Linked DNA regions of Saccharomyces cerevisiae S288C. The protein of the gene in region 2 interacts with the protein of the main gene of each other region in a biochemical or structural test. Each region holds a gene or a part of one and is shown on either strand. Other genes may lie near its edges.

Evidence for each region. Proteins that work in one complex are often made in the same cells at the same time.
Region 1: the proteins of PCK1 (region 2) and WWM1 interact in a test that uses a peptide from one of them, tested with the Saccharomyces cerevisiae proteins (one large-scale study listed by BioGRID).

The regions. Positions count from the first base shown.
Region 1 is NC_001138.5:113,961-117,727, reverse strand, and holds WWM1 (Wwm1p), read left to right. Parts: upstream 1-1,984; coding exon 1,985-2,620; downstream 2,621-3,767. Other genes in the region: SCF ubiquitin ligase complex subunit CDC4, read right to left, coding at 1-1,583; AUA1 (Aua1p), read right to left, coding at 2,454-2,738; hexose transporter HXT10, read right to left, coding at 3,743-3,767. UniProt on the Saccharomyces cerevisiae protein: Involved in apoptosis. May play a role in nuclear function controlling cellular proliferation coupled to mitochondrial biogenesis. Causes impaired growth when overexpressed.
Region 2 is NC_001143.9:628,602-634,020, forward strand, and holds PCK1 (phosphoenolpyruvate carboxykinase PCK1), read left to right. Parts: upstream 1-2,550; coding exon 2,551-4,200; downstream 4,201-5,419. Other genes in the region: ESL2 (Esl2p), read left to right, coding at 1-1,779; ubiquitin-specific protease UBP11, read right to left, coding at 4,425-5,419.

The DNA.
Region 1 (3,767 bases), on a different chromosome or scaffold from region 2:
CCTCTTAAAACACCAACAAAATATGGGTTCTCCTCAGGGGTATGAAAGACTAATGGATAATCATGTTCTTCCCCATGATCAGGAACGGAGGACTCCTTGGGCAATTTCCAAACGTGCAAAGTGTTATCTCTCGAACCAGTAACAATGTACTTGATATTTTTATATTCTACTATATCTAGGCACCTCACCGTAGAGTTATGACCTTTAAACACATGGGTACAACAACCTTTCTTAATATCCCAAACTCGCACCGTTCTGTCTGTAGAACCGCTGACTAAAATACCGCCATGGGCATACTTCAATGCCCAAACCCCACCATCATGACCTGATAGTTGTAGAAGAAATTTCTTGTTTATCGAATCATAAACTCTGATCATTTTGTCATCAGCCCCCGTAATGACATAATTATCTTCAAATTGCAAGCACGTAATAACACTCGTCATATGGCCTCTTAACGTGGTCCTTTGTGGTACAAACTTGGGATTGTACCAATTTTTTAAAATGAATATATTCTCCAGAAAAGATAATCTAAGGCGATCTTGTTGTGAGAGTTTTGGGTATTTTTGGGAGAGTTTGAGATTGAGAGAATTAAAACCCTTTGGGCTCACAAAATTTTCCGATATCAGAAGTTTTTTCCACAACGATGTAGATTTTCTAATTATTTTGTTCCAATTTTGGGAGACCCCAAGGGAATTTATAATATCCTCGAATTGCAAATAATTGAAAATTTTCAAACTTATTTCAAAAGGCAAAGACGTTATTAGGTCCCTCTTTAAATTATCCTTGATTAAAGTCCCCAAGTCGGATAGTTCACTCCTATCCATGTTGGCAACTAATCTAAATAATAAATTTTTGAAGTATGCGTGAGGGAGATTATTGTTTATTGCGCTGAAAATCTCATCAGAAAGGTATTCAGGGGAGATTATAGAATCTTTGGATTCTATCAAATCGGCGATATTATTATTGTTGTTGATAGTTTTCGTAGTTTTAGCTAAAGGAGTTGTGGTACCTGGAGAGGAAGCAGTGGGTGATAACGGCAGCGCTCCTTCCTCCATAGGATTGTTAATAGTAGCACTATTAACATTGTTACTAACATCACTGCCAGTTATTGTTGCCGCATTGACGGTAGTGGGAGCAGCAACATTATGAGATGCCACTCCCATGTTTACACTCAATGTAGAAGGTGCGGCAGAACCATCATCCACAGACATCAAAAGTTTTTCTGCATCGTTGGATATATCTGTTAAATTGTGCAGACCGTCATTATCCACAGACGCTGCACCGGTGTTCTGTAAGTTAACTGGATGGAGGGTTTTGTGATTATCATGTTTTACCCTTTTGAAATCACTGCGTTCAGGAGTGGATTCGCCAGAACCAGCTGCTCTTTTCCTCTGATACTCATCGATATCTTCTTCGCCGTCTTCTGTCTCAACTGTCTTAGCCGTGGACGAGTTTCGATGAGTGCCAGCGGCAGTAACAAGCGCAGTAACACTACCTGAGGAAGCTATACCGCCAGACACACGGTAGCTATAAGGAACAGGGATATCACGTAATGGAAACTCAGCTAAGGGAAACGACCCCATCGTACAGCGTAATTTTTGCCTTTCTTTGATTCTTTATGCGTAATTTTCTTCGAACCGCAACAAGTTGAATGAGGAGAAGAAGAAGAGAATACTGTAAATAAACGTTTTTTTCCCAAAAAAGACACTATATTTTAAGCACACAGAAAAAGACACGCTTTGTTGAGCAATCTATATTCATATAACAGTGGTAATAGCCTTTCTCTCACAAGATATACAAGCGCTGTGACGTTTTAACGTATTCAGTATTATTTCAACAGGCTTTTTTGTTTCGTCCACCTGACCGAGCCGGCAGCTGGAAGAAAAAGTTTACTTTAGTCATGATAATCAAAAGACTCTTTCTGAATTGCTTTTATCACTCACTACAAGAGAGTCGATAAAAAAACCCAAAACATTTTAAAGTAATGGCTCAAAGTAAAAGTAATCCTCCTCAAGTGCCTTCTGGCTGGAAGGCTGTTTTTGATGATGAATACCAGACTTGGTATTATGTAGATTTATCTACGAACAGCTCTCAGTGGGAACCACCAAGGGGAACAACATGGCCAAGACCCAAAGGTCCTCCACCAGGTGTTAACAATGAGAAGAGTTCTCGTCAACAGGCAGACCAGGCTCCTCCACCTTATTCTTCTCAATCAACACCGCAAGTGCAAGCAGGGGCCCAAGCACAGCAACCTCGTTACTATCAGCCTCAACAGCCTCAGTACCCTCAATACCCTCAACAGCAGCGTTACTATCCTCAACAAGCCCCTATGCCAGCAGCAGCACCACAGCAAGCATACTATGGAACTGCGCCAAGCACCAGTAAAGGTAGTGGACACGGCGGTGCCATGATGGGTGGTTTACTTGGTGTTGGTGCGGGTTTGTTAGGTGGAGCTATGCTAGAACACGCATTTGACGACCACAACTATGACGGACCAGACACTGTCGTTGTCGAGAACAATTACTACGGTGATGATGCTGGTGGGTCCGACGGCGGATTTGATGATGCTGGTGGGTTCGACGGCGGATTTGATGATGGATTTGACGGTAGTGACTTTTAATGTTATCAAGACTTTTTGGACAAGGACGATAAAATGATATAAGCTCATCAAATCTATATTGCTTGCTGCCATCTAAATATGGATACATACAGATATATACTTGCAAAGATCGGTCCATTATACTACATAGAAAGCAATTAAAAGATAAAAAAACCCATCATGATATTCTACGCTTTTTTACTTAGCCATGTTGTTGAATGTAGCTTCAATTACTTCTGTCTGTCTAATTTATTGCTACTTTTTCACTTCTAAGTGAACCATCACAACACATATAGCATAGTCGAGAAAAAAATCAATAGCTATTACTAGATGATAGATACCGTATATGCCACCTACAGCTTACTAGAGAGCTTCCGGAATGATAGTATCATTTATCAAACTACCGGTATGGTTGTGTATTGACTGCGCCTCTCAATCTATGAAGCAGCACCACGCCTTATCGTGGCTATGCGCGATATGACCGAGCTTTACAACATACTTTTCAATAAGCCGTTCTTTGAATAATGGACCCTTTCCTATAACCTAGTGCGCGTTTAAGGTGTTTTGTTCCAATAATAGAAGCACCTATCCACATACTTCACATACAGATACACTAACTAATACCACCGATGAAGCGGAAACAATGATAAATGCAAAGCCTTGGAACATCGACAGGACTACCCGAAAATAATATGTGTGTTTACTAACAACGCAGTAATAAAGCTTTCATAACGGTAAAAAGAGGTAAGATCCTGTATAAACTGGTCTCTAGTTACTTATATCTCAAAACATTATATATGTCGATGGTACAAGTTTGACCTTACATTGCCTGATTTTTTCAGAAAGATAGCAGGTAGTTGTTATACTACAGTAATTTACTATAGCTAATCTTCATTTTAAAGTGCCCACTTCTTTTTTTTTTTGAAATTATTTCTGAGTAGTAGCTAGCTTATAAACTACTTATATGCATTTATTCACCGGCGTCGCAAATGTGTCCGTCTTATTTTTTTTAATTTTTTTTTCAATTTGTGACGCCATTAATAAAGGCTATTATATAAAACCAATCTCCATGAAATAGAAGTAAAGCATCAATCCATTATCTGTTGTTATTTCTGTTTACCAGAGTACAAGAATATTTAGAAATTATTTACTATCAACAATAACTAAT
Region 2 (5,419 bases):
TATTTGAAGGAGAGGAAAGACAAGAAGGAACGTAAAAAATCTTCAAATAATGACTCCTCCGTGACGGAAAGTTCAACGGGCAATAGCCGAAATGACAACGAAGATGACGATGAAATAATGAGTTCTACCACTTCCATATCTGATCACGATCTCTTAGCAGAATTCTTCAATGACATCGATACCTTAAGGCGTCCGATACTGCCTTCAATGCTAACAAACGAAGCATGGTTGGAAACATTAAAGTTTCTAAATATGACCTCATTAAAATGCGGTATAATAGTGCTTCGGAAGTTTCTACATGGGCCTTTAGGTATCGCATTACCCCATATCTTACCATGGATATACTTTATCATCTCAATTTGTTTGAAAAGCAGCCAATTGAGTGATCCAGTTAGTAAAGAATTCTGGATGATTATTGTTAAGAGAGCTTTTCCATGGGATACAATGGTTACCTTTATGAATGTTTTGATTGTGTATTTATTGGATAACCAAACATCGAACTCTATTATTGGAGATTTATGCGATGACTACGATAAATTAAGCCTTTCTGAACTTTTAGAATTATTCAATGAAGGCGAAGAATTACCAGAAATTTTGGGCTGTTGGGGAACATTGTGGTTTGACACAATTTGCGAAAAGAATACGCATTCGATTAGTAGTGAAGATAATTTTCAAGAAATCGGTATAAAAGATTATATGGCATTGGATTCGCCGACAGATGGAATTATATTTGATGAAAAGGACGAAAATGGTGAAAAATTCTGGAAAAGGGCATGCAGAACCATATTTCTTTTTAGAGAGCTGTCAAGAAGTTTTCCAATAGGCGTAATAATCAGAAACGATCCGTTGATATATCGTTCATCATTTCAAAATACTAATATATTGGGAAGTTTAGTCTTCAAACTCGAACCCTTGTGCAATATACACAACAATATACCAGTATTAGGTGCCCTGGAAAGTATTATTGACATATCTGAGGCAAGAAGTGAAAACAACACTGATCTGCACGCTGTGCCGGAACTAAGTGTCAACGAGGGCGATAATATCTTCCACTATGTTGGCTACAAGAAACTTCGTGCCGATTATACGTGCTTCGATAAAAATGGAGAATTTTTAAGCGCCTCGCTTTACACTACATGGTATGTCCCGAACAGCAACAACACTAACATAGAGGACAACATCAATTATAACAGCGAAAAGGAAAATGAAGGTCTATTTCTGGAATGTATAAAATCTGATTATCCAGAAATAGATTTTAAAACTACATACTTTGTCTTTGATGCAACTTCTTGGCTAAGACATTCCGCACGCATATTCAAGCTAGCTCAAAACAGACTGCTAAGATTTGCCATTTGTTTAACCACATTCCAAGAGCTGAGATTTTTACGAAAGTCAAAGGACGAAAACGTCATGGAGGCTGCCACAAGAGGTATAATAACTATAAGGCAGCTTTACTATGAGAATAAAGTATTACCCCTAAGATTCACAGGTAATGTAGCGACACACATCGAAGAGAACTTAGAATTTGAAGAACAAATAACATGGAGGACACATGTCGACGAGTTTGTCATCGAATCCGTAATGAAGGCGCAAGAAAAACTAGAGAGTGCCAGCGAACCGCGTCTTTCCCCTCGCCGCTTTAACTACGTAGTTCTGATATCTGACGACGACGCCATGAAGAAAAAAGCAGAAGAAAAAGAAATAAAAACGCTAAGCACACGATTTGTGTTTTCTTTGTGCACAAAACTTGGCGAACAGCGCCATCTGTGTACAGACTGATCGTTCGTTGTACGTACATTTACAACAACACCAATTCTACTCACCGCCATAAATAACACTTTAATTTTAATATATACTTTTATATGCATATAACCAACTGACTTCCATACAATTCTGACCAGAGCACTTGGGCAGAGCCCCCACCCAGGGCCTTGTCGGAAAAAATCGGAATATCCCACACGATCCACCGGAGAATATCGGGACGCTGACGGGTGAATGGAGATCTGGATTTCCTAATTTGGATACATCTCTTTTCTTTTTTTGACTCACAATAGGAAAAAACCGAGCTTCCTTTCATCCGGCGCGGCTGTGTTCTACATATCACTGAAGCTCCGGGTATTTTAAGTTATACAAGGGAAAGATGCCGGCTAGACTAGCAAGTTTTAGGCTGCTTAACATTATGGATAGGCGGATAAAGGGCCCAAACAGGATTGTAAAGCTTAGACGCTTCTGGTTGGACAATGGTACGTTTGTGTATTAAGTAAGGCTTGGCTGGGGATAGCAACATTGGGCAGAGTATAGAAGACCACAAAAAAAAGGTATATAAGGGCAGAGAAGTCTTTGTAATGTGTGTAACTTCTCTTCCATGTGTAATCAGTATTTCTACTTACTTCTTAAATATACAGAAGTAAGACAGATAACCAACAGCCTTTCCCAGATATACATATATATCTTTATTTCAGCTTAAACAATAATTATATTTGTTTAACTCAAAAATAAAAAAAAAAAACCAAACTCACGCAACTAATTATTCCATAATAAAATAACAACATGTCCCCTTCTAAAATGAATGCTACAGTAGGATCTACTTCCGAAGTTGAACAAAAAATCAGACAAGAATTGGCTCTTAGTGACGAAGTCACCACCATCAGACGCAATGCTCCAGCTGCCGTTTTGTATGAAGATGGTCTAAAAGAAAATAAAACTGTCATTTCATCAAGCGGTGCATTGATCGCTTATTCCGGTGTTAAAACCGGAAGATCTCCAAAGGACAAACGTATTGTTGAAGAACCTACCTCGAAAGACGAAATTTGGTGGGGTCCGGTCAATAAACCATGTTCTGAAAGAACATGGTCTATCAACCGTGAAAGAGCTGCAGATTACTTGAGAACAAGAGACCACATTTATATTGTCGATGCATTTGCAGGATGGGATCCAAAATACAGAATCAAAGTCCGCGTTGTTTGTGCCAGGGCTTACCACGCTTTATTCATGACAAATATGCTTATTAGACCTACAGAAGAAGAATTAGCCCATTTTGGAGAACCTGATTTTACTGTCTGGAACGCTGGTCAGTTCCCAGCCAATTTACACACCCAGGATATGTCTTCAAAGAGTACTATAGAAATTAACTTCAAAGCAATGGAAATGATCATTTTAGGTACCGAATACGCCGGTGAAATGAAAAAAGGTATTTTCACAGTTATGTTTTACTTGATGCCTGTGCACCATAACGTTTTAACTTTGCACTCTTCCGCCAACCAGGGTATTCAAAACGGTGACGTTACTTTATTCTTTGGCCTAAGTGGTACCGGGAAAACCACTTTATCCGCAGACCCACATAGATTGTTGATCGGCGATGATGAACATTGTTGGTCCGACCATGGTGTCTTCAATATCGAAGGTGGTTGTTACGCCAAGTGTATTAATTTATCTGCCGAAAAGGAGCCTGAAATTTTCGACGCTATCAAGTTTGGTTCTGTATTAGAAAACGTTATCTATGACGAGAAGTCGCATGTAGTCGACTATGACGACTCTTCTATTACTGAAAATACTAGATGTGCCTACCCAATTGACTACATTCCAAGTGCCAAGATTCCATGTTTGGCGGACTCTCATCCAAAGAACATTATCCTGCTAACTTGTGATGCTTCGGGTGTTTTACCACCAGTATCTAAATTGACTCCTGAACAAGTCATGTACCATTTCATCTCTGGTTACACTTCTAAAATGGCTGGTACTGAGCAAGGTGTCACTGAACCTGAACCAACATTTTCATCTTGTTTCGGACAACCCTTCCTAGCCTTGCACCCTATTAGATACGCAACCATGTTAGCTACAAAGATGTCTCAACATAAAGCTAATGCGTACTTAATCAACACCGGCTGGACTGGTTCTTCCTACGTATCTGGTGGTAAACGTTGCCCATTGAAGTACACAAGGGCCATTCTGGATTCTATTCATGATGGTTCGTTAGCCAATGAAACGTACGAAACTTTACCGATTTTCAATCTTCAAGTACCTACCAAGGTTAACGGTGTTCCAGCTGAGCTTTTGAATCCTGCTAAAAACTGGTCTCAAGGTGAATCCAAATACAGAGGTGCAGTTACCAACTTGGCCAACTTGTTTGTTCAAAATTTCAAGATTTATCAAGACAGAGCCACACCAGATGTATTAGCCGCTGGTCCTCAATTCGAGTAAACGAAACATGTTCGTTCGATATGTTCAATCCAAAAAAAAAAAAAAGAATTAGAATTATTTCGACATCATAAATGTTCGTAATATATTATTTTGTCAATTTTTTCTCTTCCCATTTCAGCTTTTTTTTAATAACTGAAACTGGATCAACAAGCACATGTTTTTCTAATTAATCTTTCAAACATATTTATGTATATACATAAGGAAAATTCAAAAATCCGATGCAATTAACAGAATTCTTCTTCATAGTTCTCTTCATCCATTCTTTCGTAGAATAAGACGTATACCTCATCGCTAGACATTTCTGTTTTGCCGGCTTCAAAGTTGTTGCGATCCTTGCGATGTTGCTGTATATAATCGTCATCAAATGTAACCCAAACTTGTCTATTCAGTCCAATTTCATGGCTCTTTTCTTTGTTCACAACAGAAGTATAGTGTCCATTGATAAGGTTACCGGAATGATTCACCGTTCCATATAACTTGTATCGAATCACTTTACCGTTCTTTAAAATAATGTTCAATATCAAAGGGTAGGTTATTACAGTGCTGTTTTTTTTTGTTAAATCATAATAGAACCTTGATAAATGAATGACAAGTATCGGAGGTAAAACTATAAAGTCTAAACTCTTAATCGTGGTTAACTTTTTAGAATTTCGCTTCTTTGCATTTTTTGTTGAATCATCGCTGCTATGGTGATGATGGTGATGATGGTGGGGTGATTTTGACCTTGATCTGGAATGAAAACCGAATATGGTTGATTTTTTCTTCTGGCTAGTAATTTCTTCTTTTTTGGATTTAGAATCAGTAATTCTACAATTAGGACAATCCCAAGCATTGTCGCCTGACAGTTCTTCATCGCCTGTAAATAAGTTTATGCAATCCTCTAATTTAATTTTTCTCGACTTACTTGTAAAGCTATACAATGATAGTTTTGGAATCGCAAGTGACAGAACATAGAAGGTAGAATAGCTATAAGAAGAATTACCACAGCGCTGACATTTCAAAATGTTCTCCAACTGCCCTCGATATATGTGATCAATTGGAGATAAACCATCAGTAATAACATTTCTCTCGTACCATTTCTCGTATTTGGATGGGTTAACTTGTAAAGCATTCGCATCATATGACACTAGATCTGGATAATACTTGACAACATTTTCGTTCGAGAGCTCTTCATGTATTCGTGCTAAAACTATTAGTAGAAATTCCTGTGTATCCTGTT